3 linked regions of the Diceros bicornis minor genome follow. The protein of the gene in region 3 purifies or fractionates together with the protein of the main gene of each other region. This does not show direct contact. Links are inferred from orthologs where the notes say so. Each region holds a gene or a part of one and is shown on either strand. Other genes may lie near its edges. The genes, in order: RBM17, U2SURP and SNRPA1.

Region 1 (10,567 bases), on a different chromosome or scaffold from region 3:
CGCTGCACCAAAGAGCTCCAGAGGCTTTCCTGTACTTTTCTCCCAGGCTGCCTGGTATTCAAAACTGATTGTTCTTATCTAGACATATCCTTAAACTTTAAATTTAATTTGAAAATCTCAAACAGAGCAATGGCAAAGAAAAACAATGCTGAATGTCCAGATTATTGTGGTTCCCAAAAAAAAAACCTACTTCAGAAATGACTGTGCATCTTTCACCTAACCTAGTTTAATTTTTTGAGCCCTCTTCATTCAACTGGTCACCAAACCGAAGCCTAGGAAATTACAGGTTCATTTGTTCTCCCTCTTTACTCTTATAAAGGCATGAGAAGACTCACACATTCTGGGAAACAAACAAACAAAGCTTTCTGGGAAATTATAAACAAAGATAAGTCATCAAAGCTTGCTTACAATCCAAACTCCACTTTATTTCTCCCAATAGCTCTTCATAAGAAACTTGAGAATTTCATCAAAAAAGATATTTACCAGCATGTTAGTGCCAACGGAACTAAGGTAACCAAATGCCCACTAAACTACAAAGGGAAAAGATTAGTTTATTCATTTTTGCACCTCCAATTTCTGGCACAGAGTAGGCACTTAATAAACAACTGCTGAAATATTAATAATTCAATAAGATCTATTTAGCCCCATAAATCAGCAGTGAAACTACACAATGCCCACAGGTTCCAACAGAAAGTTAAAGGGTAGGCAACAGGTTCTGGAGACAGATGGTAGAATGGCCGCACAATGTGAATGTGCTTAATGCCACGGTACTATACACCTAAAAATGGTTAAAATGGCAAACGTTACGTTATGTATAATTTACTACAATAAAAAAAATAGGTAAGAGGGAGGGGAGAACCACTGCTGGGGAGGGGGTGTGAGGTAACAGGTTGCTGTTTAATTAACACTAGTAGATCTCTCTACCCAGAAGAGGAAACTCGGACAGAAATATTTCCCCAAATTTCAGAGCTAAAAAAATTAAGCAGTACAGAGTTCTGCCTCCAACAGAGTTCTTTCACCTAAGAATTCAATATTTAACAAAGATTTCAGCGCTGAATTAATGAAGTTTCATGAGACCATACTTCCTCTGATTCCATTTCATTTCTAGATTGAAGATGGTTTGCTGACAATTCCATTTGCTTTACCTTGCTCTGCAAGCTTGGGAAATCATTATGCAGCAAAATCTTATGTTTAGTTAAAGTTCCTGTTTCTGTTCTCAAAATCTTCAAAAACACACTTCAAATATTAGAAACTGATGTTACCTTATCAGCATCTGCTAGTTTTCAGTAATGCAGAACTTATAAACCAGATCTCTGCATCACAGTAAATGCAGACGAGCTTTCTTCACTTTTCTTGTTTTCACCGAACTTCAAATTCACAGAACTGTATTAATCAGAGCAACAACACACTCGTTATCCATCCATGCATGTATGGCCTGCTTTTAATTATCTGCTACAATGCTACAAGCACCAGTGAATTTGCCACCCAAACAAGAGACAGGATCTGGGCAAGAAACCACACTGACCCCATATGGCCCCCCATCCCGTTCAAGTGATTTCCCTGCCCAGGGGTGAGCAGCAACCTGAACCCCATTCTCACGAATGCTTGCTTTCCTCCTTTCATACAATTTCATTTACATAGCTTTATTGCATCTATTCTTTGAAAGGCGTGTATATATCTTTTAGCCGTTTTAAGCACTTATAAATACACCATAATTGATTCATTCATTCTCCCCACTGCAACCACTGAAATGTAACAAGGGCATTGACAAGACTCTGCCAGGACCTGAACTGAACCTAATTAATGCTGGGATGTCACTTAGATGATCTAACACATTTATTTCACGAAGTCTGGAGCCAGGTAATAAAAAGTAGCACTTTCTAACATTTGGATATACTTTAAGAGGCCAGGATCGAACACAAATACAAACAGCTGGTTTTCATAATTTCTTTAAAATACCTGCTCACTACTTACTTTTTTATGGTAACACTACCCTTTGATCAACACATCTTTCATATATGCTCCATTTTTTTTCTTAAGAAGAAACACAGTAAACATGGTCCTGCCAGAAGAATGATGACTTTCCAAGATTCTACCTAAGCTGGCAGAGTATTTTTTTAAACACATGCAACTGGCAGAAAAAGAACATGGAACAAGTCTTCTCAGAAGCACCCCACCTACTCATCTCTCAAGAGCATCTCTGAAGCCTTTGGTGACTACCACCCCCACATAAAACTATGCCCCATTTGTTTCCCCTGAACACACTCGGATCAGAGCAACCTTCACATGTTATGCTGCCTATGGCTGACACGTCTGTCTCTTACTACATGATAAGCTCCTTAAAGCCAAGGGCTGTTTTTGTCTTATTGTTGTATCTCTAGCTCAGCATCATGCTCGGAACATTGCAAGCACTTGATATTTTCTAAACTTATCAGTGATCGGATGGAAAATGTTAATGCACCTCCTTAAATCACATTATTATAAAACAATAAGATATCCAGATCTGTCTTTTAGGGACATAAGTTATGGTAAGTGGGATTTAATAAGTATGGTAAACATTAAATTGTATACTATAAATAACAGAAGAAAAACTACTACCACCACACAACTAATAATGAGTCGAGGTCTGATTTCTCAGCACCTAAACAGCAGGCTTGGTAAGAGCAGAGCTTTTTACCACTAAAATGATAATTCATGTATCATAAAGCGAAAATGAAGCCTCAAGAATATGGGAAGTATATGCAGACACAAAGGAGCAGGAAGGGAACCATGAGGGTCAATGCACGTTGATGTTCACCAAAAATACAGGTAATAAGAGGCATCTGCCTCATATATAAGATTTATAATGACTTTTGAAGGAATTAAAACATCTTTCCCCCAAAACCCTGACACCCTTGTCACAGTTTAGCATTTCCACCCATTCTCATAGATTCTATGATTACCAAAATACCTTAGGCTGGAGTGTATTGCAGACAAAGTCCACAAGAGTCACCTGTAATCGAGGTGTGTAACAGAACGTCCTTCACTATTGACTACTAGGAAAGACTTGAGAGATTACCAGCCCTGGATCATCTGTTCTCTGAAGGTAATTTAAAACAAACCAGGTAAAAAGAAATCCACTTTATAAAGTTACATTTGGGAACGCACAACAACTCTCCCCAAATTCTTATTTTCCATAAAGGCTATTTTTAGTTATCACAGTACTCCACAATCAGAATAGCTCTGCCCTGATAACACTTCTATTACACCCTGTTATCTTTTTCTCTGTTTCACAATCTACTCTATTCTAAACTGTACAGCATGCAGCACATTTCTTAATAAAATTCTAAAAATAAAACACCCTCGGTTTAAGTTACTAATATATTATCCCATAGTCCCTAAATATCCTTATTATAGTCAAAACGTCTGCTGTCTTTACCCCCTAAAAATGTGGAAACTCAGTTGCATCCTTTAAACACTCCACTTGTTGCCAGGAGGCACAGTCCCCATCTACCTGAGTACATGCAGCATCTTGCCCTTACCCAGAATATCCTATTTTCCATTCCTATGCTGGGTTCTACCAGTAAGTACCTTCAACGGTTCTCCTTTACTGACTTCTCAAAGAACTTTCTTGATCTGACCCGACTACCCCTCCTCACACCTCTCTCTGCCTTACCCGCAGTTTCCAGGATGCACTACAGTGCTTCTCTTCTGCTGCCTTGACACTTATCTCCCCTGCCCTGCAGGGAACCTTTTCCCCATCCTGCACATCTAACAAAACACCTCCAAAACTCAGTTATAAGCATCACCCCCTCTTGGAAGCCTTTCCAGACTCCACTCTAGTCCCTTAGATCAAGGATTTCTATGCTTGTGTCCCTAGAGACTAAACTTCGAGAGCAAGGACAGAATCTTATTTCTCTTGCATCCGCTGTCCATAACATATGATCTGGGCAAGAGGAGATGCTCAAAAAATGCTCGATGACTGGACATGAGAGCTAAACCCCGCTCTAGAAGGACAAGGACCGAAGTAACGCCGGAGTCGTGTCTCCCTGCAGGTAAACCCCGACTCGGAGAGCTGTCAACCTCTGGAGGCCCCGTTCTGCAGCCGGGGAAGGAAGTGGCTTCTTCCCTCCCCACTCCCCGGGCCCCGGAGGGGAGCAGACGTGCTGGGCCACAAGTAATACGGGCCTGGCTACCGTAGGGACCGAGCAACTACTTCACAACGGCACCAACAGAAGGGAGGAGAAAACGTCCTCGGGTCCAAAACGGACGGAAACAGACGGACGGGAAGGGAAAAATAGGAAGGAGAGAGGAAGAGGGAGAGGGAGAGGGCCTGGGGACCCGAGGCAAATAGACAAGAGCGGCGGCGGGGCGCGAAGAGAAACGCGAAGGGTCGGCCGGGGCCTGGCTGAAGGCCGAGGGCGCCAGCGGCCGGCACCTCCCGCCCCCTCGCGGCGCGGCCTAAAGCCTCGGCCTCGCGTCCAGCGCCGCCCGGGGAGGCGCGCGCCCCGGCGCCCCGCCAGGCCGCCCGCCCCGGCGCCACTTACCCGGGCCGCCCGGCCGACTCTCCCCATGGGCCGTGGCGGCACACCGGGGCCGAGGCGCCGCGCAGGGGGCGGGCTGGGCGCCCTCGGAGTGACCCGCGACGCCGGACCCCAGCCGGCGCCAACTCCTACGCCGAGTCCGCGGGGCGCGCGCGGCGCGGGGTCAGGGGGCGCGTGCGGCCGGGAGAGAGGCGCTCCTGTGCCTGCGCCGCGGGCGCCTCGTCGCCGCGCCGCCTGCCGGCCGGAGGACCACACTGCACCTCCACTCCGCCGGCGTCCTGCTCTGCCGCCAAGAGGTGTCGCGGTGGCGCAAGTTTGTGAAATTTCAGACTCGTAGGAGAGCCCGGCAGTGACCCCAGATGGTGAGGACGAGAAATGGTCCAAGGCGGCAAAGATCGTCTTTGGGAGCCAAGTGCGTTCTAATAGGAGAGAGAGGGAGAATCCCTCCTAACCCTTCGTTCTCATTCATTCAAAACCATTGATCTCTATGCACAAAGCTGAAAACAAATCCCCCGAGGCGAGATGAACGGGAAACTGCTGCAAAAGAAATGGCAGCAAGCATTGAATTAAGTGTACGACTAAGAAAACAGTAGACATGGAGTTTAGGGTGATAGAAAAAACGTAAATGTTATAAAGCCTCACAGTTTAAAAATGATATAACAAAAGTTGGGAGGAAAAGAGAAAATAGGATTTCGTGTAAATATGATTTTCACGCCTGTAATTGGGGTTTAAAATATTTCAAGCTGATAAATAGTAGAGATTTAAGTATACATGTTAGTACAAAGGAACATGCTAAGAAACAATATAATCAACTAAAATCTGGTGATTATGAAAAGGGAGGAAAGGGAGAAAAGAAAGAAATATGGTAGGTTGTCAGTAGACAATCTGAAGAAATAGATGATTAGGACATCAAGTAATATTATCATTATTATGGTAACCCAGAACAAAAGTACAAACCTTTCAAATTATCAAAACACAACTATAACAAACTAAACAAAATCACATAGTGAAATATGAAAAAGCTACAAAACAGAAAGCATAACAAAACAATATGACAGAACTAAGACCAAACATCTTACATGAATAAATGTAAATGAGCTAAATTTATCTATTTTAAAAAATAATACAACTTCAGATTGGAACAGAAACTATAACAGAACTCTATGTTGCATACAAGACAATGCACAAAATAGAGGGATTATCACAGTCTGAAAATGCAAGACTGGAAAAGGTATACCAGGAATATACAAGCATAAAGAAATAACAGATCACAAACTTACTATTACACAGGGTTGATTTCAGAGCAAAAAGCATTTAATGAGATTAAGAAGAGCATTTTATAATCACAAGAGTTAAAATTCACAGTGAAGAAAAAAATAGGAATATCTATGCACCAAATAACATAATTTCATTATTCACAGCAAACACTAGAGGAGATATAAAGAGAATGAATAGTCAGAAATAATTGTTGTAGTCCTTGCCAGATTAAGGTCATAAATGATAACTGAGGATTAAGAAGATCTAAAAATATAATTAATATGGTTGATCTAATATATCAAACTCTGTACCCTGAAACAGAGATTACATCTTTTTAAGTATCCTTGGGACATTCACAACAATTGGCCACATTTTAGGCCACAGAGAAAATCTTAATATATTCCAATAAGTGGAACCATATCGATAATATTATCTCATCAGAATTCAATAAAACTAGAAATTAATGATAAAACAGAAAATAAAACATTCCTACCCCTTGGAAATTTTTAAATGCTTAGACAACATTTGAATCAAAAAGGAAAACAAAAACAAATAAATAATACCTAGAAAAGTGTGAAAATGAAAATGACATATCAGAACCCATAGGATTTAGCTAAAATAGTACTAAGAGGAAACTCATGTTTTTTTTTTTATAATTTTATTTATTTATTTTTTTCCCCCAAAGCCCCAGTAGATAGTTGTATGTCATAGTTGCACATCCTTCCAGTTGCTGTATGTGGGACGCGGCCTCAGCATGGCTGGAGAAGCGGTGTGTCGGTGCGCGCTCAGGATCCGAATCTGGGCCGCCAGCAGTGGAGCGCGTGCACTTAACCACTAAGCCATGGGGCCGGCCCCAAAACTCATGGTGTTAAAGGATTATATTAATTAAAAATTTAGAATAAACTAAATAAATTAAGCACCCATGCAAGAAGTTAGAAATAGAACAAAATAAACCTTTGACAAGCAGAAAGATGTAATTAATAAAGATAAAAGCCTAAATTGATGGTATATAAAACAGAAAAATATAGAGTTAAAAAAATAAATCCAAGAGATGATTCTTTGAAAATAAATAGGTGAGCTGTTAATTAAACAAGAAAAAGGGGAGAAAGCACAAATGTACAAAATGTGGAATAAGAAGAATTAATTCCAAATACAGAGGAAAGTAAAATTATCTTAAGAGATGACCTTGCTCAGTTTTATCAAATAAGTTGGAAAATCTGGAAGAGACAGATACTCTTCAGGACAACATAATCTCTCAAAATGGACTTTAGATGAGTTATAAAATTTAAACAGACCAACTATCACAGGAAAAATTGGGAAGAAAAGCCAAGAGCCTTTCCAAAAGAGCACCAGGTCCAGATGTTTCCGCAGGAGAATTTTATCAGACCTTTAGGGCCAGTGAATTCTGATGTGCTGTTCCAGAGCATAGAAAAAGAAGGAAAGCTTCAAATTTCTCCCATGGAGCTAGCACAGTAGTGACACCCAAGTACAGCCCAAAGAAAACTGTAGCCCATTCTCACTTATGATTCTCAGTGCAAAAATCCTAAATAAAATAGTACAGCATCAGGACAGAAATTCTCAGTCCTAGAGTAAGGTCATTCCCCGGGCTTTGGGGATCAGCTCTAGGTGAGAAGGAGAACGTTCTGGCAGTAAGACAACGTGCTCAGGGTTGGAGTGCTGGGTGCAGTTTTGGAGGAATCAGTCCTGGCTTCGGAGGGTTTATTTCTGGGGTTGGCTTGGAGACTTGGGTTTGTGGAGTCAGCTCCATTTTAGAGGTGAGGATTTCCAAAGCAGGGGCATCATTCCGGGAGGGATACCCAGATTGCCAGTTCAAACGTGCTCAGGCTTAGGTTCAGGGTCATATGTAGACCAGATTCTCAAATTTAGGCTTAGCTGAGGAATCCGAAGGCTTCTTAAAGGGCACTGCTGCTACTAGCATCCTGTGGTTGACCACACAGCATATCAGCCCTGGCTGAAGGGAAGGGGGGTGGGAAAAATTGAGACATATTGAAGAATTTGATAGAGGTAACACAACTAGGAAGAGAAAGTCAGGGTGTGAACGCAGGGTGCGTACAACTCTAGGGAGCATGCCCTTCACAGGGCAGCCTGGGGGTAAGAAGACGTGCAGTGACTGGTAAGTTGAAAGACTGAATTCTCAGTGGAAGGAACTTTGTTTTAGACACAGCAGGCGGTGGCTCAACCCAGCAGGAGATCCAGATCCCATTGGAGAGAGACAAGGTAGACCCGTGGCTGTCGCTCCACCCAGTCTGCAGCAGGAGGTGAGTAGACAGATTATAGGACATGGCACTCATCCCCGGGGTCCAGAGACCTGGTGAACAGATGAAATAGACATGAACAAGGTTATTTGCCCACAGGCTGGGTGAATTTTGGAAGAGAACACAAGCTGGACCCATGATGGTCTACGCACTTATCAATGCAGCCCACCAGCCGGCCAGCCATTCTCTCCGTGCTTTCATTCTTCTTCTTTTTTTATTTGCAGGTCTGTTATTTATTCGAATGCAACTGCAGGACCATGCAGGTGCCAGCTGAATAAGTAAGCATTGCCTGGTGTCTTAGTCCGTCCACACATGTCAGAAGGGGCAAGGGAGCTCTCTGGGGGGGGGGGTGGGTCTCTTTTATAAGGGCACTAATCCCATTTATTAGAACTCCACTCTCATGACCTAATTACCTCCTAAAGGCCCCCACCTTCTAATACCATCACTTTGGGGATTACGATTCAACATATGAATTTTGGGTGGACACAAACATTCCATCTATAGCACCTGGTATTTTGCAGAGTATGTTAGATGGAGCAAACCCTGTAGAAATCAATTGATAAAGACTTAGTGCTTGAAGTGAAAACTGAACCTGACCATTAGCAGAGAATGGGAGTGATCTGCAGCTCAGGACTTGGAAGTAAGAAAGCCAATCTTCCCACTCCACATCCTACAAGACAGGCACCAAGCAAAGATCTCCATAACCCAAGAGAGGCAGATTTGTACAAGGAAACGGGCTATTCTCTTAGCTGCTCTGGTTAAGCAACGCTGGCAATTTTTTGAGCGCTAAATGCAGAACCCTGATTGTGTAGGCCTTACTCTTTCCTTATATTACTGGCATGTTACTTACATTACTTCACTTTAATCCTCATGTAGCATGGTGTAGAATTACACCATAAAAATGGAAATTCCCTATGAAAATTGTTTGAGCAAAAAGCCGTGAGAGTGTCTTAGTCAGCTGGGGCTGCTGTAACAAAATATCACAGACTAGGGGCCTTAAACAACAGACACTGATTTTCTCACAGTTCTGGAGGCGGGAAGTCTAAGAGGCAGGCGGATTTGGTTCTTGGTGAGGGCCAGCTTCCTGGCTTGTAGGCAGCCACCATCTTGCTGTGTGCTCACAGGGTGCAGAGAGCTCCGGTCTCTTTCTCTTCATATGAGGACACTAATCCCATCTTGGGGGCCCTGTACTCATGACTTCGTCTAAACCTAATTACCTCCCACAGACCCCCACCTCCTAATATCATCATATTGAGAAGTAGGGCTTCAACACATGAATTTGAGGGAGACACACACTTTTGTAGTCCGTAACAGAGCGAGAAAAGAGCCACACTTCTCGGGGGCTCCGGACGCTTCTGGATGCTTCCTTTTGAGGGGAGTGAGGGAGAAGTAGGATGCGTGGGCTGCTCTCTCTGTCCTGAAGTCTGGTGTGGCCAAGGTGTGGGGGCTGAAGTCCCAGTGGAGACTTCCAGTAGGGAGACAGGGCCAGGAGCGGCATGGAAGTGAGTGAAAAGAAAAGATGTTAGCCTTTTCTCTCAGCAGGAAACACTGAGGAGGGGGAGAGACGCCCATACTGGAGTCTGAGGAAACTTTCCACGTGAAACACTGTGTGAAGCGCTGCATTATGCCCTGAAAAGGAAGATACGCTAATATTTACCTTTTTTGGGTCAAAGTTTCTCTGGTAGGGTCCATTGGCCCTTTGTTGCCTCACACATGCACCGGGTGGGGGAGGGGAGGGAGTGTAACAGTCAACAATTCTGTGCAGATGTAGTATTATCTCCATTGCACAGATGGCGCTGCATGAGGTGAAATGACTTTCTCTTGGGGCATAGTTAAGCAAGTGACACAGCAAGGACGTGAACACACACCTGATTCCAAAGTGAATGCTTGGTTTCAGCTAATGCCAAGAGAGAAAGGAGGCTTGGGCCAGGCTTAGAGGCAGACTTAAAATGTGGTTAATGGAAAGGAGAGGGGAAGTCATTCTTGAAGTAGGATATGTTCATGGAACATTTAAGAAATAAAATGAGTTTCCCGAGTGCCTCTGATAGTTTCTGGCTCTCTACCAAGCTCTGAAGGAGAAATGGCCCAGAGAGCAAAGACAGAAGGTGTCTAGACCGGGTCTCCCCCCCACCCCTGACCCCACTCCTCCTGGATCTAAGCACAGGTGGGTGTTCAAAAGCCCTGATTATGAGGCCCAGAGCCTTTGGGACTCTCCATGTGGAATCTGCTGTCTACCAAGCCTCCCTAATTCTCTGGATGCCTCTGGTTTGCAGGCTGTTCCCTACCACTCCTCCCCTCCCTTTCTGGCTGGAATTTTGTGCATTTCCAAATCATTCAGTCACACGTTTACAGACCACTTCTTGGCTTACACACCGTAGAGGCAATCACCTCCATGGTTTGGGAATTTTCTAGTTGAATTCTCAGATGGAAAAAACCCTCATCTCCGAGCATACTAGAAACATCATTCTTGCTTCCACTTTGTGTCAAAGGTAACTAATATTACCTTTATTT
Region 2 (11,023 bases), on a different chromosome or scaffold from region 3:
ACATGGCTGGTCTGCAATAAAATGCTAAAGCTACTTAATAATAGAATAAGAGATAAATCATTTGTAATATTAGTGTTTTCAAGTTTCACATCCTGTAGCAAGTTTTTATTTTTATTTCAAAAACTATGCTCTTTGGGGGCCGGCCCGGTGGCGCAGTGGTTAGTTAGGTTTGCACACTCCACTTCGGCCGCATGGGATTCGCAGGTTTGGATGCCGGGCGCAGATCCGCACACCGCTCGTCAAGCCATGCTGTGGCAGGCATCCCACATATCAAGTAGAGAAAGATGGGCACAGATGTTGACCCAGGGCCCATCTTCCTCAGCAAGAAAAGGAGGATTGGCAACAGATGCTAGCTCAGGGCTAATCTTCCTCTCACACACACACAAAAAAATTATGCTCTATAAAATGAGGTAGAGAGGCAGGAGTCTTGAACTTGCAAACCAAATGAGCCCTCCTCTCATTTGCCAGTAAGGCAAACGGGTATCTTTTATAGGTTAACTTTCCAGGAAAAAGAAAGCTTCGGGAATAAAAAAATCAAAAGAAAATAAAAACTGGACTTTCAGAAAACAATTCAATCCAATAAGATAGGAATTTTTTTAACCATATCAATAGTCATAGTCAAGCACCAGTGCTGCAAATACTCAAGCTTCTAAAGAGCACCAGTCAAAAAAGTGGAAGTTCTGAGGGCTGGCCCCATGGCGTAGTGGTTGAGTTTGCACACTCCTCTTTGGTGGCCTGGAATTCGTGGGTTCAGATCCTGGGCACGGACCTACAAACCGCTCACCAAGCCTTGCTGTGGTGGCATCCCACATACAAAATGGAGGATGGGCAGTGGATGTTAGCTCAGGGGGAATTGTCCTCAGCAAAGAAAAAAAGTTCCCAAACCAATTTAGCACTGACTGCATGTCAAGGAAGCTAGCAGTATTTTCTACTTTGTTCATTTATCTCTCTAACGCAATTTTTGACTGTATGGTAAAAAAATAAGCATTGTCACAGAGCGAAGTAACAGGGCACACAATTCAATTATATTAGCAGTATTACCAGCACAGGAGATGCAGAAGGAAAGAAAATACCACATTCCCTTATATCCTCATTATACTAAGCAAGCAAACAAAACAACTCTTAAAATCAAAATAATAAATTAACTTTTATAAATTAAATTCTAAAGAAATATGTTTAACAAATTTCTAAGCAAACAGTTATAGGCTCTCTCTGTCTCTCGTCGCCAAATCAAAGCTACAACATGGTACCAACACCCCTGTCCCCCAAAGTAATGTTTTAGTCTGGTGATAAACAAGAATAAATGTATAGGAAAATTTTAGCTCATTCCTAAAGCATTTACTGAATTTCTACATTTGCCAGGCCTTAAAATGAAAAGTACAGCAAAATTACACAGAAAATAAAAGGGCCCGGCCTCTCTTCATCGGGGACAGCTACTCATAAAAGTAAGTCATCTGGCTATAAATACATTAAATGTAATTTTTAAAGCTAGAGGAAACGGTAGAGGTTATCTAATCTATTTTATAATTAAGACACGTCAAATAATATTGCCATTGTCAATGGCAAAAATCTTGTATATTGCACATTTTAAAATTAACACTTTCCTCGGTGTCTAGAAATATGATTAACAAGCATCCCTACCTATATCAATGAGGATTTAATTACCAAAGAAGAAGAATGAACACGAAACAGAAGAATCTGTTCACTCCATCTGTACAGTAGAATATGTCATTCATCTGCTCTCCTCAGAGGAAGGGAAATCAAATCACAGAGATCAAAGGCTAGAAATTCCAAATACTGTAGTATTAGTCAAAATCATCTTAAGACTCTATTCAATAATTTCTGGACCTGTGTTAGAAATAAACAACAATCTGGGCAGTCATTATGATAGTTGATGACTTCGATTCTAAATCTCAAGATTAGAATTTATCCTGATATTTTGAAAAGTACTTTTTATTTCCTCTATAAACAAAAAGGAGAAGGGAAAGAAACTAAGACACTAACTCATTTAATCCTTATAACAATCCTGTAAAAAAGGGATTATATCCATATTATAAATGAGGTAACTGAGGCTCAAGAGTTTAAGCAATTTGCCTTAATATCACAAATATAATTAATTGCCAAGTCAGAACTTGAATCCAAATCTCGTTTGTTATCAAAATCCATAATCTTTCTACTGCATCATGTATCCTCCATATTAATGGAGAAAGTCACGTCAATACCATTTGAGTCCTGAGATATTCTCTTTTTACAGATATCAGTAGGAAATCTCTTTTTTGTGTGTGTGTGAGGAAGATCAGGCATGAGCTAGCATCTGCCATCCTCCTCTTTTTTTTTTGCTGAGGAAGACTGGCCCTGGGCTAACATCCGTGCCCATCTTCCTCCACTTTATATGGGACGCCGCCACAGTATGGCTTGCCAAGCGGTGCGTCGGTGCGCGCCCGGGATCTGAACCAGCGAACCCCGGGCCGCCGCAGCGGAGCACACGCACTTAACCGCTTGCGCCACCGGCCGGCCCAGGAAATCTCTTAATAGCATCAACTGATGATAATCTAAAGCAATATAAACTGAAAAGATTACTGCAAGACCCAACAATTCACTTATAGAGAACAGCCACACACAACCATGAGAAGTACTAAAGAAGGAAGACAACACATATATTAAAAGGTTTTCAATGTATCCAAGGCCTCAAATAGGAGATACTTAAAATATTACTTTGAGAAGAAACAAAAGTTGTGAAGCTTGTGCGTCAATTATTATGGATGTAGTTAGCTTTTGTAATAGTTCCCTAATAGTAAGCAGGGCTGTTTTTGTCATGAGTCTGTTGAGGGGAAGTGGGCAGAGAGAGGTACCCAACTATTCCCCTCCTCCTCAAGGGGAAATGTACTGGGGAGGGAAGAAACTAACAAAGAGCAGACACAGGATGTAAAGCAGCCAAAACTGGCCTTGAACCATAGTTTCTACATAACTAAAGGATGTCTGATAAAGCCATTACTAACTACGAACTAATTATGAATATCATTCACCAAACGGCGTACAAATTATGATTTATTAGAAACTGAAAAAGCAAATATAAAATGAGTTATGTTTCTCAGAACAAACTATAAACGCAAGACTCGCCCCTTCTACGGTAAACTTAACTTCCTAAGAACCGACTTATAATCATACACACTCTTTAAGATGTAACAGTCCCTGTTTAGGTGTCACAAAACTTCCTGCATCTGCATGAAAAAGCTTAACACCTACTTCGGACAGTATCTATTACTTTTAATCTCGTGTTCGAGATGAGAAACAGGGCAAAAAAGGATTAAATGACCCGCCCAAGATAGCAACTAAGACCTGATAGTAACCACAACTAACTAACACTAAACTACTTCTACAGCTCAATGGTTTCACAATACGTGCACACAGTTCCCTGTAAACGCAAAAGCAATTTGCTAATTTTAGGTGGCTTCCAAGTCCACGGAAGTTCTCCTTTCAGTGGAACACGCAACATAGAGACGCAGGAGTCCTCGAAAATGAGCCCTCAAAACAAGAGCCCGCTTTACGCTTGCTCTCAAGCGAGGTGAGACCACGTGGAGAGCACAGTATTAACCTTGGCGATGCAGCACCGCAAAGGAGCGCTGCTCCCGCCTCTGCACTTCCCACCCCGCGTCCCTCCGCCACTGGTCCCTGCCTCTCAACTCGCGGCCCCAGAGGTTATTTATTCCCTGGAGGGCGTGAGGGAAATCGAGAGAGGCCGGAAGCTTGTGAGATCCAAAACCAAAGAACCGAGGACAGACAGACAGACCCATGAGCACCAGGGAGCGATTCCCGCCTCTCCCCGGCGCTGTCCGGCGGCCCCAGGGCGCAATAAGCCGAGACACACGGGCGCGTTTTCACGGCTCCGGGCCTCGATCTAAATCCCCGATTTCACTCCAGTGCCGAGCGCGGGCCGAACTCCTCACGCCACCACCCCACCCCCCGGGCCCGCCGGTCTCGAGCCGAATCCAGGCCGGGACGAAGGGGAGACACCAGGCCTCTCAACCTGCGCACCACCGTGCGGCGGCGCCCCGGCCGACCGCCGCGACCGGAACGCGGACGCCCACCCCAACCTCCTCCCGCTGGCCAGAAGCGTCAGTAGACCCCACACGACAGTGACAGACTCACTGACTTACGAAGTCCTCTAAGAAATTACCTTTGAACTGGCCTTCTGAGATCCGCCTGGCGTTTTGTCCGCCATCTTGCGCTTTGCCCCTCCTTCGGCGGCGACAGCAGCACGGGCGAGTCGAGCGCCGAAAGAGCGGATCTCAGCGGAGCCCGCCGGAGGCGCCTGCAAGGCTGAATAGTCGACTGCGGAGATGAGGGATTCGAGCGGCGCTGCGCCACGTGACTTCCGGGGTCAGTCCTTCCCAGGCCACGCCCACTCCCTTGGTTTCCGTGGGTGTCTCGGTTGTTGGTTCGGTTCCTGGACCCGGGAAGTTAGAGAATGTCGTCGTCCTGACTTTGGGGGGCCGCTGATACTTCACTCTTTTCCCAGCGCCAACTCTTGATGGGGGTGAGCCAGTTTTCTTTCCTGGGCGAGGAGGGAACGGGTCGTTAAAGAAGAAATGCACTGGTCAGCTGGGGGGAAGCTTTTCAACTCCGAAGATAAGTCTGGAGCCAACTGGAGGGTCCGGCTCTCCAGGGACAAAGACGGTGTTTGCGCCGCCTCGGGAGCTCACGCCCTGGTGAAAAGGGCAAACTTGCCATCTGCTCCAGTCACTGTAAGATAGAGTTGTGCCCGGCAAGCGGAGAGGAGTATTTGACTCAGCCTGAGATTCCGGCAGTGGGGAGATCCGATAGACTCTTGTTTGGGGCATCTACAAAATGGGTACCTGCAGAGAGAGGGTGAATGAGAAAATCATAAATAGGTGGCTTTCTAAATCTAGCAAACGCGTAAGTTATGTATCGTTTAAGAATTACGTTTTACAGTTTAGTATTGTTTTCATTTTTAAACACGTAAATGGAGGGGAGCACCGCACACTTTTCTGTACTTAGAACTTTTTTAAAGTTCTTAATAGGATCTGTCTTCAAAGAAGGAAAGCTTACTTGAGAAGGTCATGCCTGAACCGAGCCAGGCAAGGATAATGGAAAGGCATTCCAGGCAGAGGGAGTAGTTGGAATAAAAGCTTGATGGCATGGGTCCGTACAGCCCACTCTGCAGGCACCATAAGCAGTCAGGTTTTATTAGACCAGGTGTAGGGAGGGACGTGGCTGGAGAGGTGGATGGGAGCAAGATCACACGAGCCCTGAGGTTACCAGTGTGCTTATGAGTTAGAACTCAGAGAATGAAGAGTGGCCTTCAACAGGGTTAAGTAGGGCTTTGATGTGGTCAGATTTGAAGTTTTAAAAGGTTGCTCTGGGGACTTGGGGAAGGAAGAAAGAAGAAGGGTTCATAACCTTCTCTCTCTAATTCATTTATTCAAAATATTTTTGAGCCCCATTTTGTGTATAAAAGCCTGCCCAAAGTGTTGAGAGACTTACAGACAAATAAAAACACATTTGATTTAAAATCAATGTGTTTTTAAATCAAATTATTTAATGCAGAATGGGGGAGACAAACAAGGGAAATAACACTATGCAGAATTAAATTGATCCTGCAAGGAAGGATCGATAGCTGTGGGAACTCTGAAGAAGTAATTAATTCTGAGGGTAGGGTTGGGTAATGAGATGGGGGAGGTTTCACAGAGAAGGAAGCATTTGAGCCAACTCTAAAGAAGTAAAATTTTGTCTGTTGGCTGGTGGGAGGGCAGGGAAGGGGAGGTTGGGATGGTGGTGAGGGAAGCACTTAAGCAGGATCTGACACGTGGCAGGCCCTCAGGGAAGATTAATAGTCATATGTGGCAGGCACTGAAGAATCAGCAGGTAGGGGGTCTGTTCTGTGTGAGAGGATGGGGTAGAAGAACACACGATAAGTAAGCAAACAAACAAGAAATGATCAGAAAGTGACAAGTGCTATGCGTTGAAATTAAAATGGAATGATGCTTTGCAACCTCCAGTCCAATTGAATTTGTTTCCAGTCTCAGATCTTGTCACACTTTTTCAATTCTGGGCCTTTTCTCCCACCCTTGTCCTGGCCTCTGAAGGCTAATCAATTTTCTACTCTTGTTGAAGATGTCACTTCCTCCAAGAGGACTTTCAGACCTCCCTACTCCACCAAGCCTAAGTTAGAGACTCTGCTTCTGTTTCCATAGGAACCTATACTTTCCCACTCCGGATGCTCATCACACTGGATCTTAGTTGTCTGTTTACAATCTAGGATTAGAAAGTGAAACCATCAGCTGAGATGAAGGAAGGAGGAGGATTGGCTGTGCCTTGTCCGTGCTAGCAATGCTGCAGGCTGACTGTCACTGTAAAGTGAATATATGCATGCTTTTCATTCAAATCCCTAAAGTCCTACTTCTCATAAAAATACTTTTTACTAAATGTTTACCCCTAAAGAGCTAAAAATAAAGGAACACAGACTTCTTCCCTCTCTTCTTTTTCATACGCTAAAACCCCAAAGGAAGTCAGACAAACGTGACCTGACTACCAGTCATACATAGGGCTTTATTAAGACCTAATTAAATACACTTTTAGAAACTCACAATCAAGGTTATGAGCAGAGTTCTCCTTAATACGTATAAGTCATGAAATCTTGGCCCTATTACTCAAACCAAAAATTAAGGAGGATGAGATAGCATGAATATAGTACAAATGGAATTTTACAGAATCTGAGATTTTTAATTAGATTCACAATAACTATTCCCAAGGGACTACACATAAATAGCAAGAAAATCATACAATTTACCACAGTTAGTTTAACTTTTTTACAATCACACTAAAACCATGCCATTTTTCTCTCCCTGATGTGTTGCTTCTCTAGTCCGCCACATGTCACCAGTTTTTGAGGGTCCTCCCTGCAGCTGTGTTCAGCAGAGATTACCAAGTAGTGCCAGATGCAGACCACAGAGGTATTTTGTTTGACTCAAGCAGGGAAATTTTTTTCTTTGATTTGGCTAGTATTTTAAAATTGAGAGATTTTACTTTTTTATACTCAGGATTTCCAGTTTTTCTTGAAAAATGGGGAAGTCTGGCAACAGTCCAGTGGAGGTGAGTCACAGTGACCTCTCTGGAAGGGCCTTCACCACACACACAGTGGACAAATGCCCCACACCCCGCCTGCTGGGAAGCATTTGAGTTTTCTACATCTCTTGTAGAATTTAAGTCTTACCAGGGGTGATGATCAACACATTGAACAATCAGTCCCCCAGGCACCAAAGAGAACTGCCTTATCCATTAGGAACCGAAGGCTCATTGCCTAGGGCCCACCGTAATTTTAGAGGCCTCCCAAATGTTTTAATTTCTTTTAAAATAAGAGGAAAAAAAGGTGGAGTGAAGAGGCTGAAACAAAAGCAGCATTTAACAATATACACAATGAGAGAGAGAGACCTTAAAAATGATTGCCCAAAGCTAAAATCTCCTGTACTGTGCCAATGGACTGCTCCTACTTGGTGGCACTCTCATTCTAGAGAGTTTTTAAGCAGCTTCTCCCTGCTCTCTAGGCTTCAGGATAGAGGTTGGTGAAAGCACAGTCTCATCCATTTGTTGGTTTGGCAGTTATTGAATTTCTAGCATGTGCCAAGCTCTGAAGAAAGAAGATAAGGAGGGAGGGAGGGAAAGCTAAAAATCAGACTGAGCTCTTCCGCTAAGAGGGATCCTAGCGGCTTCTAGAAATAGGGAACAGCCTTCAAGGAGGGTGTGGTGTGTGTGGAATGGAAGATTCTTTCTAATGAAGTCGATTGCCCGCCCCACACCACCGCACCACGCTAGCCTGACAAGTCATTTTAGTGGCAATAGCAGCTTCTCCCTTTTCTTCCCTCCTCACCAAAACAAAAATACCCGACTTATCTACTGATGATATCTAGAATTCCTTTGACAATAATAATTAGCGGTGGCATTGTTTAAAACTACAAATGCCCAGGAGGTAAAAGATATGTAAAAATGGTGTCAAAAAGCACATAGCCCAAGAATGGGCTGGTGACATGTTGAAAATAATAAAAATTGCTATTTTAGCTATGATCCTGGTTAGAAGATTACCCTTACTATGTAGCAATTATTATATCAACAAGATATTAAAACCTAGGATGGTCCAGATGGAGTATTGTGGAAATGGGTGGTCCTAAATGAGTGTGTGTGTGTGTGTGTGTGTGTGTGTGTGTGTGTATGTGCGTGTGAGACAAAGAAAGACTGAAGATGCCCATGGCAATTGGCAGAGGGCAACATCTCCAAGGGAGTCCCCACATGCCATGGCGTGGCAGTCCAAAGTTGGGCGTGGCTTGGACTACCCAGAGATCAGGCCTCACTTAATCTATGACCTGCCTTCTGCCAGTGGGGAGCCTATGTATCCCCATGAAGATTAAAACTCTTGAGACAAGACCAGATAATATAAAAGGCTAGGTGGAGAATGAAGTTATGACAAGAAAATGAAACAAAACTATTTCTCTTATCAATTTCATTTGGTTGCCAGTAACAGAAGTCCAACTGCAGTGGTCTTAAACACAGAAGGCTTTATTTTGACACGGCTGTCATGGTAATGATAATGTGAAATTTCTGTCAAAAAACATGGCATAGCTTTCTTCTTTTTCAAGTTTTGTTCTCTTTCCTTCACATCGACTTTGCATATTTCTTGTTACCTTAATTCTTAGTTGTTTTCTCTTTTCTGTTGTTACTACAAATAGAATAAGTTTTTCCATTATTTATATCTGTCCTAAGTAATTAGTGTTTTATATTTATTACTATACATTAATGTTATACCCAGCCACCTTGCTGAATTCTTTTATTTGTGTAGTTTTTCAGTTTTTTCTCTTGGAATTTCAGGTATACGATCATATCATTTGCAAATAACTACACGTTTACCTCCTCTTCTCCCATATTTTTTAATATATCTTTTGTTTTTCTCTTGTGTGATAGCATTAGCCAGTACCTCCAAAATAACATTAAGTAAGAGTGGTGCTAATGGATATCCTTGTCTTATTCCTGACTTTAGTGAGAATGCTTTTAGTGTTCTTATGAGGATGTGGCTGACTTTTGGGTTGTAAGTTGAATTACATATTCATTTTTTAGCTAACCATGGAACTGAAAATATAGAATTTTAAATTCTCATAGAAAACTCGGGGACCCTAGTGATATGCCAAAGAATGCCCATGGTCAGACAACCCTGTTAGAGAAACAGTTACAGGCTTGTGTTAAGAAAAATTAGGACATCTCCGTGACTTGAGAAAATAAAGGAACAAAGTCGAAATGTCCTGTTCTGTGCACCAGGAAGAATGGGCAGTGGGGAGGGCAGACTGGAGGGAGGACAGGTAGAAATCAATTAGTTTCCTGTTGCTGCCATAACAAATTACCACAAAGTTAGTGGCTTACAGCAACACAAATGTATTCTTATAGTTTTGGAGAGCAGAAGTCTAAAATGTGCCAGCAGGCCTGTGTTCATTTTGGAGGCTCTAGAGGAGCATCTGTTTCCTTGCCTTTTCCAGCTTCTAGAGTTCACCTATGTTCCCTGGCTCGTAGCCCCTTCTCCATCTTCAAAGCTAGCAGCCTAGCTTCTCTCCTCTCTGACCTCTGCTTCCATTCTTATATCTTCTCTCTAACTGTAATTCTACTGCCTCCCGCATATAACGACCCTCATGATTACATTGGGCCCACCACAACAATCTAGGATAATCTCCCCATCTCAAGAGCCTTCACTTACTCACATCCACAAAGTCCCTTTGCCGTGGAAGTTAACATAGTTGTAGGTTCTGAGATTAGGATGTGGACATCTTTGGAGGGCTATTATTCAGCCTACCACCAGATCTAAAATGAACTGTCTGCTTCTGTATTTTGTCCCTGGCTGTCAGGTACAGATTTGATCTTACCAGAAAACTGACATGGGAATGGTCCTAATAAATACAGTCATCTCAGATCAGTTGAGTTCTGAAATTGTTACTGGGGAATTCAATGGGTAGGCGGTGTGGTTCCAGTGAAGACGGGATGAGACAGGTCCCTGTGGGCGGAGAAGGAACAGGGCATAAAGGAGACAGATGTGTCACAATAAGAGTGTAATAAGTGAAGACTGAAATTTTATCCGATTTGTTTACTGCTGTGTCTGCAGTGCCTAGAGCACAGTAAGCACCCTGCAGGCACTCAATGAATATTTGCCAATGAATGAAATCTACATCAGAGGTGGTTTTGGGGGAGCACAGTGTAAGAGGAGTCAGGGAAGACCTCATGAAGGATGCTGTAGAACTTTTGGAGGTGTCTATCCAGCTCTCAAGAGTTCACCTCTGGGGCTAACTCCCAGGAGTACCTAGAGGCTGCTCAGAGAGCAAGATGGAGACCTTTACACAATGTTGTCTCCTTTTAAGAAAATGCAAATTTTGCTAATTTTAAACAGATTTAAAAGTCTCCCTTCGTGTAGTACAAATTTTGAAATAATATGAATCTTTTCTCATCCCCAATTTAAAGAAAATTTTTCAAGAATTGTGTAATTTCTACATAGGCAAGCTCAACGGACTGCAAACAACATTTACTATTTTGCCACGTGGCGGCGCTGCTGCTGCTGGTAAACAAAACCCCCCACCATCCTTTGCAGGAGTCCTGTGAACACACAGCGAACCTCTGTGCATGATCTTGGTGCTCATGTCACATTTGTGGTTACAATTAAAAATCTTTCTAATGTCCTGTTATTGTCAACCAAGGTTTCACTGAGCAATTGTGTTAGTGCTGGTGCTAAAAAATAATTTAGAAGGGGAAGTTAAATGTGATAAAACCATGGTATGCCGTGTTGTTCGTTTAGGAGAGAACAGTCCACAAAATATTAGTGATAACAAAAATATTAGAGACAACATTAGAGATAATATTTCTACAGGCAGGCTTGCTCTGCTCCTCCAGGAGGGCAGGGACAGGACTGAATCCCAGCACCTGTTACCATGCCTGGCACACAGTAGGCAAACAATAAATGTTTGTTGAATAAATAATA
Region 3 (10,296 bases):
AAAATACATAAACATAAAAATACAAACAGCCCCTATAATGCCACACATTCCCTATGAATGTGCATTTTGGGTTGAATACCTCATATATCTCAGAAAGGACACGGCCTCACACCAGTGCTTTCTTACTTTTGAAGTCAAGCACTCCTTTCAGAATTTGATGGAAGCTATGGACCCAGTCTACTAGGAAAGGAACAACGAGGGAAAGAGAGAAGGGAGGGAAAGGCATAATAACCCAAAACCAAGTTATATAACACGGACTTAAACATCCAGTGTTTAAGTGAAAAATTCAGGTTACAAAACAATATACATTATGAGCTCAATTGTGCTAAAAGTTATACACACAGAACAGAAATTTAAAAAGCATAAAAAGAAATAGGTCAAAATAATCATATCCAAATAGAGAAAATGAAACTTGCCCCTTATCCCATAGGAAAACCAATCCCAAGTGGATCATAGATCTAAATGTGAAGAGTAAAACAATAGGTTCTAGAATAGAATGGTCTAACAAAATTTAATGCAGGTCACATATGTAACTGAACATTTTCCAGTAGCCATAATAAAACAGAAAAAACAGGTGAAACTAATTTTAATTAATTATTATTTAACCTATTATCCAAAATATTATCATTTCAATATCAATATAAAAAAAATCACTGATAGTTTACATTATTTTTTTTGTATTAAGTCTTGAAATCTGACGTGTATTTTACAGTTCTGGTACATCGCAACTCAGAGTAGCCACTTGTGGCTAGTGGCTATCACAGTGGAGACTACAATTCTAGAAAACAACATAGAGGCAAGTTTTTTTATGACCGTAGGGTAGGGGAAACATGACAGAACATTAAAAGCACTAGCAACAACAACAAAAGACTGATGAATTGGACTACAATTAAATTAGGAACTTCTCTATCAAGATACCCTAAGGGAATCAAAAGGTGAGCTACAGAGTGGGAAAAGATATTCCCAATATATGTAACCAAAAAAAGGCTCAGATCCTGAATTAAGACAAAGACAAAGAAAAAGGACGATGAGAAAATTTTCTGGATTTTCCAAATTTTCTATAAGAAGCAGGTAGTACCTTTAACTCCTCTCCCAAATACATTTTTCCCCTGCTGAACTTACCAGTTCCACAAGACTGTTGTTGGTGAGAATGAGTTCTGTCAGACAGGGCAGAGCCTGATCAAGTCCCTCACCTATACGGCTAAAATAAAAACAAAAAGACTTAGTGAAAGAGAAAAGTAAGTAAGCTAACAATTGTATCTAAATCCTTGCTCAGAGCATTTGACTTCAAAGTGAGAAGAACTTTAGAGATCTTCCTTCCAACACCCTATCTGACAGAGGGAAAATAGGAAAACAGGCGCAAAGAGGAAAACTTGTCTGAGGCCACATGGTTGGCGACAGAAGTGGGATGATTTGAGAACCCAGGCCTCCTGAAAGTTGCCTGGGGCTCCTTCCACTACCACACTGTCTAGTGAAACCTAAAAAAAGGAGAAACTCCCGCACAGAAGAAACTACTTAGCTCACTTCATGACTTCTGTGCAGGCAGCACAGAACTACAAGTGATTCTGCATTCACAGCTCTGGTACAAGACATACAACTATACCATAAGGAATAGTTAACCTATGAGAAATATGTCTATTCAAAAAAAGTAACTCACCACCCAGTATTTCCTAAAGACATTGTCTACAGACCTTCAATAATTTTTCTCCGATAAAATCTACACAGAGATGACGAAAGAGGGTCCAAAAAAAATCTCAATTTCAATAAGAATTCTAAAAATCAGCTCTAGTTAAAGAAAAACAAATGGCAGAGGATATAAGGTAGAAAGAGAAGCTCAAAAATATAACTGTTGAACTTTATATATCTTTTTAATATGATCCCTTTGATAACTATAATCATTGTTTTAGAAATCAAAATGTACAAAGCAGTATGTTTTTAATTTAAATTTGAAACTTACCATGAATATATAAATATACAAGATTTCTGAATAGATGCAAGGAAGATTAGACCAATGCTAAGTTAACCTCTGGATCTGTATGGGAAAAGTGCAGCTCCTTTCTCATTTTAAGAAGAAATATGTAGGTTTAACTGGCAGTACGTACGACAATTTCTGCAGGGAACACTGAGACAAATACTCTAGGGGGAAAAAATTACTTTCCACTAGCAAACACTTACCATATCCTATTGTTGTTCACTAATAATGTTTTCAGTCTTCTCAACAAAGGAAAACCATCCAGTTTCCTGATTTCATTGTCAGAAAAATCAATAGCATCAAACTGGTCTAAGGTAGCACCTAGATTTTCAATGACAGGAATTTTATACCCTGTAAAATGGAGGAGAAAAAACACACAAGTATTAATATAATTGAAGGTACCTTAAAACATTAGCAGTATTTCATGATAATTTGATTCAAAGCTTTCATTTATTCAGAAAGTGTCTACCTAGCACCTATGCCATGTCAAACACTGTGCAAGGTACTGGCGCATAAAATGAGGAACAGGAGAGTCACAAGTCCCAGCTGCCATGAAGCCTACACTTTAGCACTGGACATGAAGATGGTGATGACAACAATGACAAGGGCAATGATGATGAGGATACTTACTAACAGTCATATTGGTAGCTAACATTTGTAAGAGTATTTACACGGTGTCTCACACTGTTGTAAGCAAGGCCCCATAGCCAGCTAAGCGGTATAACAGGAATTTACACTGTGCTGCTTATCGTCAGTGTCCAAGCCTTGTTCGTACGTTGTGGGCAACAGTTCTCAACCTCTTTTGCATTCCCACATGCGAGATTCATAGAATTCATCAGGATAGCCTCATGATGTCATGACAGTTCCCCCTTACTTCACCTCTCCCCAGCTCCAATCCAGGATTGAAGGTCAACGGTTTATACACAACAGTAAATCACCCTGAGAAAAATTCACTCAAATACTCACTGATTTGTCTAATATGGGCATAATTATTGTGCCAGGTGCAAGAGAAGAAAAGAAATGAACCCAGCCCAAGTTCAAGTACACAATTCAGAGTGGTAAGGGCTACATCCAAGTGACTGCCACACCAAGATAAGCATCCTCAACACTCATGCACTTCAGACTTCGATGGCAAAGATCAACCTGTGCCAAGACAGCGAAAGCGGTCAGTTACCCTCGAATTGAACCTTTCTCTAAGAAACTTAATTTCAACAAAATAAAAGCAGTGGGCTTTCTCAGCAAGGGATCCAAGCAGAAAGCAGAGCTGCATCAATGCTGCCCCTGAGACCGTGTTGTCCCCATGGGAGCAAACCTCAGGCCAAGCTTGTACTATCTTATCCCCAGACAAGTTGCTTTTCACATCCTTCCTAAAGTCACCTCCTGAAATGCCGATTAGATAGCTGCCTTCCCAGTTTCTCACCAAGCCTTACTAAGGTTCAAACAGCTACAGGAATCCAAACAGTTCGGAGAGCTTCCGCCAATTACACCCGGCACTCGGTAACGCAAGCCTCGTGAAACCGTTCACTCCATAAAATGTTTTGATAAAGGAAAACACCAGACAAGTGAAGCTAAGAAGGAAATATTGGGGAAACAATCGCTTTTGTTCCCGACGTTCGTTTTCTCCCTCGTGAATTAGAGATAATCAACACGTATTCTAGGTATACTCTCACAATATCACTTGAACATATTTACTGAGACCAACCACGCGCTCAGCACTAGAATTACAACCACTAACATCAAGTATATCTTCCCTGTCCTCAAGCCACGCGAGGCCTGACTGAGGCCCGCGGGTAGGGATCAGGAAGCAATCTACTCGCGTGTGTGCGAGAAGGAGCGAGGGCTAAGAGGAACCTCCGAAGTGCCCAAGGCATGGTCTTCGGGCCACAACGGCAGGATTCAAGCCTGGGCGGTCCAGGGGCAGGCCAGCTCGGGGGCGAGAACTCAGGCCCACGGGCCAAGCTCCGGCCCTCGGCGCACGCGGCGCGGACCACGGGGCCGCGCGCGGAGGCCGGGGGACGGCCCGGACTCACCGCGGAGGTCCAGCTCGCGGTCCCGCACGGCGTTGGTGTACTGCGCCGCCTGCTCGATCAGCTCCGCCGTCAGCTTCACCATCCTGCCACCTCCGCTCCCGCTGTCCCGGCCGGCCCGCCGCCTCCCGCCAGACAGCCGTCCCGGCGTGCCCCGCGCCCCGCCGCCAGGCAGCACCAATCGCAACCGGCGCGCGCGCGGCAGCTCGACATCCAGGCAGAAGCAATCGAAGAGCCACGCCCCCGGGCTCATTCCTCAAAAGGTCCTGGCGCTGTGGGGCGTCTGTGGATTTGGCGTCTTTCCTGCGGCGTATCTGGAGTCTGGAGGGCCTCTGATTCCAGACATTCGTGTCCTCTAGTTACGCAAAACGTGGAAGCACCCGAGGGGAACTTTCACATACATCAGTGCACCTTGAGGTGGGAGGGGAAGCTGCGTCTGTCCTCTCGCCACCCAGGAGGGGCAGGCGCCCGTGGGGTCCAGTGAAGAGTCCAGGACTTCAGGTTCACGACCTTGTCCTGGGCTTTGACCCCTGGGCTGTAACGTGAGAACTTGGGCTGGGTCACCCGCTCCAGGCACGGTCGAGTTTGCGGTTAGGTCTGTGGTCTCTAGGCACTTAAATATTTATACTGAAGCATGGTGTACAGAAAAGTGCGCACATCAGAAGTCTGCAACGTGACAAATGACAACAGAGTGAGCACACCTGCGTAGCTGCCGCACGGGCCCAGGAAAAAACCCCAATGTTTTGAAATCCTCCCTCCCTCCCCAAAGGCAACCGCGAATCCAAAACTATAGACTAGTTTTGCTGGCTTTTGATGTAAATAGCATCACGCAGTATGCTTTTGTGCCGGATTTCTTTGGCTCAGTATTATGCCTGGAAACTATCCAGGTTGCATTCCGCAATGGTATATTTTCGCTACCGTATAGAATTCCACTGTATATTTTACACCATAACTTATCCATCCTGCTGTTGATGGACGTTAGGGTTGTTTCCAGTTTGGGGCTATTCTGAATAATGCTGCTATCTATAAATTTTCTTGTACATGGATCCGATGCACATGTGCCTGAGTATCTCCAAAAGTGGAACTGCTGGGACAGAGGGTATGGTATCATCAATAGGTAATGCCTAACAGTTATGCCAAGAGGCTAAAATAATTTACACACTCTCTAGCCGTGTGTAAGGGTTGCCATCGCTTCCAACCTCAGCCTCATTGGCTTTGTCAGTCTTTATAATTTTATCGGTTCTGGTGGGTGTGTAGTGGTATTGCCCTATTGCTTTGATTTGCTTTTCTCTAATAACTAATGGAGTTGAGGATCTTCTCATGTGTATATTGTCCATTCTGATATCTTCTTTTGCGAAATGCCCATTCAAGTCACTTGCCCATTTTTTTTTCTGTTGTCTGCCTTTTTCTTGTTGACTTATGGGATTTCTTTATATACTCTGGGTATGAGTACACTCTGTGGCTAGCCTTTCACTCTTTTTTGGAGGGGTTAAAATTGCTTAGGTACCAAAGAACTCACAGAGAGTAGAGACACTGTCCTCATACACATCATCAATGCTGCAAAACACCAACTGTAGTCCATTTTGGTCTGCATAAGATAACATCCTATTCCTAAAATCACAAAATTATAACTGGGGCTGCAATTCGAATCAACAGTGTAAGAAATATGGTCCAAATGGTCCCACTCAAGAAGAGGCATCAGAGGAAGAGCTTCTTAGCTCAGGATGCCCTACCCACTGACAGTGTCTTTTGCCCTCTTTTGTGGGGGACAGTTTCACTATGGTCATGGAGGTCTGGGAGAGGAAAGGGTTTTCTGCTTACCGGCCTTTCCACTCTTAATGGTGTTTGATGACTACAAGTTTCTAATTTTTATGTAGTTCAATTTATCTTTTCCTTTATGGTTTGTGGGTGTGTGTGTTTGCAGATGTGTCTTGTTTAAGAAATCTTCCCTCATCCTTCAAATGTTTCTCTATCTACTAGAGGCTAAATTGTTTTACCTTTCACATTTAGCTCTACAATCCACCTGAAATTGATTCTTTTTTAACTTTGTATTGAAGTATGATATACATACAGCAGAATGCAAACTAAACACACCAAGCAACTGGCATCCAGATCAGGAACAAGGCATTGCCACATTCCAGAAGCCCCCTCTTGTCCTCTTCCAGTTACACCCTTGCCCCAGAGTAACCACTAATCTAACAGCTTGCATAGATTGGTTTTGCCTAGTTTTGTATTTATGCAAAATGAAATTGTACCTTATGTATCTCTTGCTTAATATGTTTGTGTGTAGATGTAGTTCATTAATTCCCATTGTTATATAGTATTTCCTTGTGTGAATATTCCACAGTTTATCTAGTCTGCTGTTGATGAGCATGTAGTAATTTCCAATTTGGAGCTATCAAAAATAGTGCACCTATTAACATTATAATACATATCTTTAAGCGAACACATATACTCTAATACAGACTCGGAAATGGAATTACTGGTTCATAGGGTTTACTTGTGTTCAGCTTAAGTAGCTAGTTTTCCAAAGCGATTGTACCAATTTACACTCTAGATATTTGGTATTGTTTCTCTCTTTTTTTTTAAATAATTTTATTTATTTTTTTCCCCCAAAGCCCCAGTAGATAGTTGTACGTCATAGTTGCACATCCTTCTAGTTGCTGTATGTGGGACGCGGCCTCAGCATGGCCAGAGAAGCGGTGCGTCAGTGCGCGCCCGGGATCAGAACCCAGGCCGCCAGCAGCGGAGCGCGTGCACTTAACCGCCAAGCCACGGGGCCGGCCGTTTCTCTTTTTAATTTTAGCCATTCTGGTGGGTTGGTAGTGGTATCCCATTGTGGTTTTAATTGTATTTCCCTAATTACTAACACAGTTGAGAACTTTAAAAAATATATTTATTGTCCATATATAAAAAATATATTTATTGATAGCTTCTTTTGTGAAGTGTCTGTCTAGGTGTTTTGCCCATTTTTCTTTCTTTCTATCTATCTACCTACCTACCTGTCTGTCTGTCTGTCTGTCTGTCTATCTATCTATCTATCTATCTATCTAGTGAGGAAGTCAGCCCTGAGCTAACATCCGCGCTAATCCTCCCCTTTTTGCTGAGGAAGACTGGCTGTGAACTAACATCTATTGCCAATCCTCCTCCTTTTTTCCCCAAAGCCCCAGTAGATAGTTGTATGTCATAGTTGTACATCCTTCTAGTTGCTGTATGTGGGACGTGGCCTCAGCATGGCCTGAGAAGCGGTGCGTTGGTGCGTTGGTCCGCCAGTAGCGGAGTGCGCGCACTTAACTGCTAAGCCACTGGTCCGGCCCCCATTTTTCTAATGAGCTGTCCTTTCTCACTGATTTGTAGGAGTGCTTTATATTTTTTGGATATGAGTCTTTGTGAGAAATATTTACAGTGAACATCTTCCCTCTCTCTGGGGCTTGCCTTTTCACTCTCTTAATGGTGTCTTTTGATGAACAGAAGTTCTTAATTTTAATATAGTCTAATTTCTGAACTTTTTCCTATATGGTTAATACTTTTTTAGTCCTTTTTAAGAAACTTTTGCCTACTCAAAAGTCATAAATATTTTCTTCTAAAAGCTTTATTGTTTCACCTTTCACATTTAGGTTTGCAATCTGTCTGAAACAGATTTTTGTGTATAGTCTGAGGTAGGGATCAAGATATATTTTTCCCCATATAGATAATCAGTTGACCCAGCACTATTTATTGAAAAGACCATCCTTTCCCCACTGCCCTGCCACCTTTTTCATAAATCAAGTGTCCGAATATGTGAAGGTCTGCTTCTGGACTAGCTGCTCTGTTCCATGGGTTTAGCTGCCTATTCTTGCATAATATCTTACTGTCTTTCTAATAATAAGCTTTATTTAAAAACTTGATATTTGCCTCAAAAAAGGGCTCCCACTTTTTTTGAGATTGTCTTGGTTATTATTGCCCTTTGCATTTTAACATAAATTTTAGATATATCTTGTATCTAAAAAAGAACCCATACTTTGATTTATATTGTACTGGCTCTATAGATGAATTTGGAGAGTATTAATATCTTTACAATATTGAGTATTCCAATCTATGAACATGGTATAACCTTACATTTATTTAGATCTTCTTTAATTTCTCTTAGTGTTTTATAGTTTTTGTGTAGAGGTCTTATACAACTCTTACTAGATTTATTCTAGGTATTTAATAGTTTTTGATGCTGTTGTAAATAGTACCTTTGGTTAAAAAAATTCCATTTTCTAATCATTAGTTTTTGGTGTATTGAAATACAGTTGATTTACAGTTGAAATACAATCGATATATCCAGCAATCTTGCCAAATTCACTTATTAATTCTAATAGTTTATCTGTAACCGTTCTTTTGGATTTTCTACGTACATAACCATGCTATCTGAGAATAATGATAGATTTTTTTCTTCCTTTCCAATTCTTGTACTGGTTCTTTATTTTCTGCCCCGTTGCACTGGCTGGGATCGTCAGCACAATGTTGGACAGTGGTGATAGTGGACATCCTTTAGCAGGCATCATCACTTCATAGCCAAGGGAAAAAAACCTAATCAAGTGATCAAAGTTAATATCACCCCTAATGGAACAAATGAAAATCCTGTATCACCTAATAGGATGCAATGAGAAGAACACAGCATTACTTCTGTGAGATTCCTCTCAGAGATGCATGACTTGAATCGAAATATGAGGAAACCTCAGACAAACACACACTAAGGGACAGCCTAAAAATAACTGGCCTGTAGTCTTTAAAAGGTTCAAGTTCATGCAAGTCAAGGAAAGACTGAGGAACTGTTCTAGGTTGAAGAAGACTAAAGAGATATGATGACTAAATGCAAAGAGTGATCTAAACTGGATCCTTTTGCTAAGGGCATTATTGAGACAATTGGAAAAACTTGAATCCAGTCAGAGAGATTAGATGACAGTAATGTATCAATGTTAATTTCCTGTTTCTGATGGTTATGTGGGAGAGCTTCTTGTTTACAGGAAATACCCTGTAAAGTATTTGGGGGGTAATAGGGTATCATATAGGTAATTTACTTTCAAATTGTTAAGGAAAACACTTCTTTCTACTGTGCTTATAACTTTTTTGTAATTTTGCTTTGTTGTTTCAAAATTAAAAAGTTAAAACAATCCAAACTTCACTTAATTCCAGAGAGGACCACCAGGTGGCGTCCTTAGACCAGAGAGCTGGTTTTACTTGGCCCTTTTCTTGCTGGATTAAAAAAAAAAAAAATGTTTATCTGTTGATGGGCACCGAGGTTCCTTCCAAGTCTTGGCTATTGTGAATAAATGCTGAAATGAACATAGGGGTGCATGTATCTTTTCAAATTAGTGTTTTCATGTTCTTTGGATAAATAGCCAGAAGTGGAATAGCTGGATCATATGGTATTTATATTTTTAATTTTTTGAGGAATCGCCATAGTTTTCCGTAGTGGCTGCACCAGTTTACATTCCCACTAGCAGTGTATGAGGGTTCCTTTTTCTCCACATCCTCTCCAACACATGTTATTTCTTGTCTTTTTAATTCTGATGAGTGTGAGGTGATATCTCATTGTAGTTTTGATTTGCATTTCCCTAATAATTAGTGCTGTTGAACATCTTTTCATGTGCCTGTTGGCCATCAGTATATCTTCTTTGGAAAAATGTCTGTTCATATCCTCTGCCCATTTTTTGATCAGGTTGTTCATTTTTTTGTTGTTGAGTTGTATGAGTTCTTTATATATTTTGGAAATTAACCCCTTGACAGATATATAATTGCAAATATTTTCTCCCACTTGGTGGGTTGTCTTTTTGTTTTGTTGATGGTTTCCTTTGCTGTGCAGAAGCTTTTTGGTTTGATGTAGTCCCATTTGTTTATTTTTTCGTTTCTTTCTTTTGCCTGAGGAGACATGATATTCAAAAAGATACTGCTAAGACCTATGTTGAAGAGCATATGGCTATGTTTTCTTCTAGGAGTTTTATGGTTTCAGGTCTTCCATTCAAAAATACTACTCAGCCATAAAAAAAGATGAAATGGTGCCATTTGTGACAACATGGATGGACCCTGAGGGTATTATGCTAAGCGAAATAAGTCAGATGGAGAAAGACAAACACCGTATGATTTCACTCAAATGTGGAAGATAAACAAATACATAGATACAGAGAACAGACTGGTGACTGCCAGAGGGCAAGGGGGTGGGGAGAGGGAGAAAGGGGTGAAGGGGCACACATTTATGGTGATGGATGGCAACTAGACTTTCGGTGGAGAACACGATGCAGTCAGTATAGAAGTTGAAATATAATGATG

The links.
Region 1: the proteins of SNRPA1 (region 3) and RBM17 purify together in Homo sapiens (affinity purification with mass spectrometry; 5 studies listed by BioGRID and IntAct, with this or other methods). This does not show direct contact. The link is inferred for Diceros bicornis minor from reciprocal best matches to the Homo sapiens genes SNRPA1 and RBM17.
Region 2: the proteins of SNRPA1 (region 3) and U2SURP purify together in Homo sapiens (affinity purification with mass spectrometry; 5 studies listed by BioGRID and IntAct, with this or other methods). This does not show direct contact. The link is inferred for Diceros bicornis minor from reciprocal best matches to the Homo sapiens genes SNRPA1 and U2SURP.

What each region holds. Positions count from the first base shown.
Region 1 is NC_080775.1:7,287,903-7,298,469, reverse strand, and holds the start of RBM17 (splicing factor 45), read right to left. Parts: upstream 4,618-10,567; 5' UTR 4,527-4,617; intron 1,367-4,526; exon of another isoform or gene 1,263-1,366; intron 1-1,262. UniProt on the Homo sapiens protein: Splice factor that binds to the single-stranded 3'AG at the exon/intron border and promotes its utilization in the second catalytic step. Involved in the regulation of alternative splicing and the utilization of cryptic splice sites.
Region 2 is NC_080741.1:10,940,712-10,951,734, forward strand, and holds the start of U2SURP (U2 snRNP-associated SURP motif-containing protein), read right to left. Parts: upstream 4,332-11,023; 5' UTR 4,223-4,331; coding exon 4,178-4,222; intron 1-4,177.
Region 3 is NC_080744.1:80,357,387-80,367,682, reverse strand, and holds the start of SNRPA1 (U2 small nuclear ribonucleoprotein A'), read right to left. Parts: upstream 4,134-10,296; 5' UTR 4,085-4,133; coding exon 4,003-4,084; intron 2,324-4,002; coding exon 2,176-2,323; intron 1,202-2,175; coding exon 1,123-1,201; intron 1-1,122. UniProt on the Homo sapiens protein: Involved in pre-mRNA splicing as component of the spliceosome. Associated with sn-RNP U2, where it contributes to the binding of stem loop IV of U2 snRNA.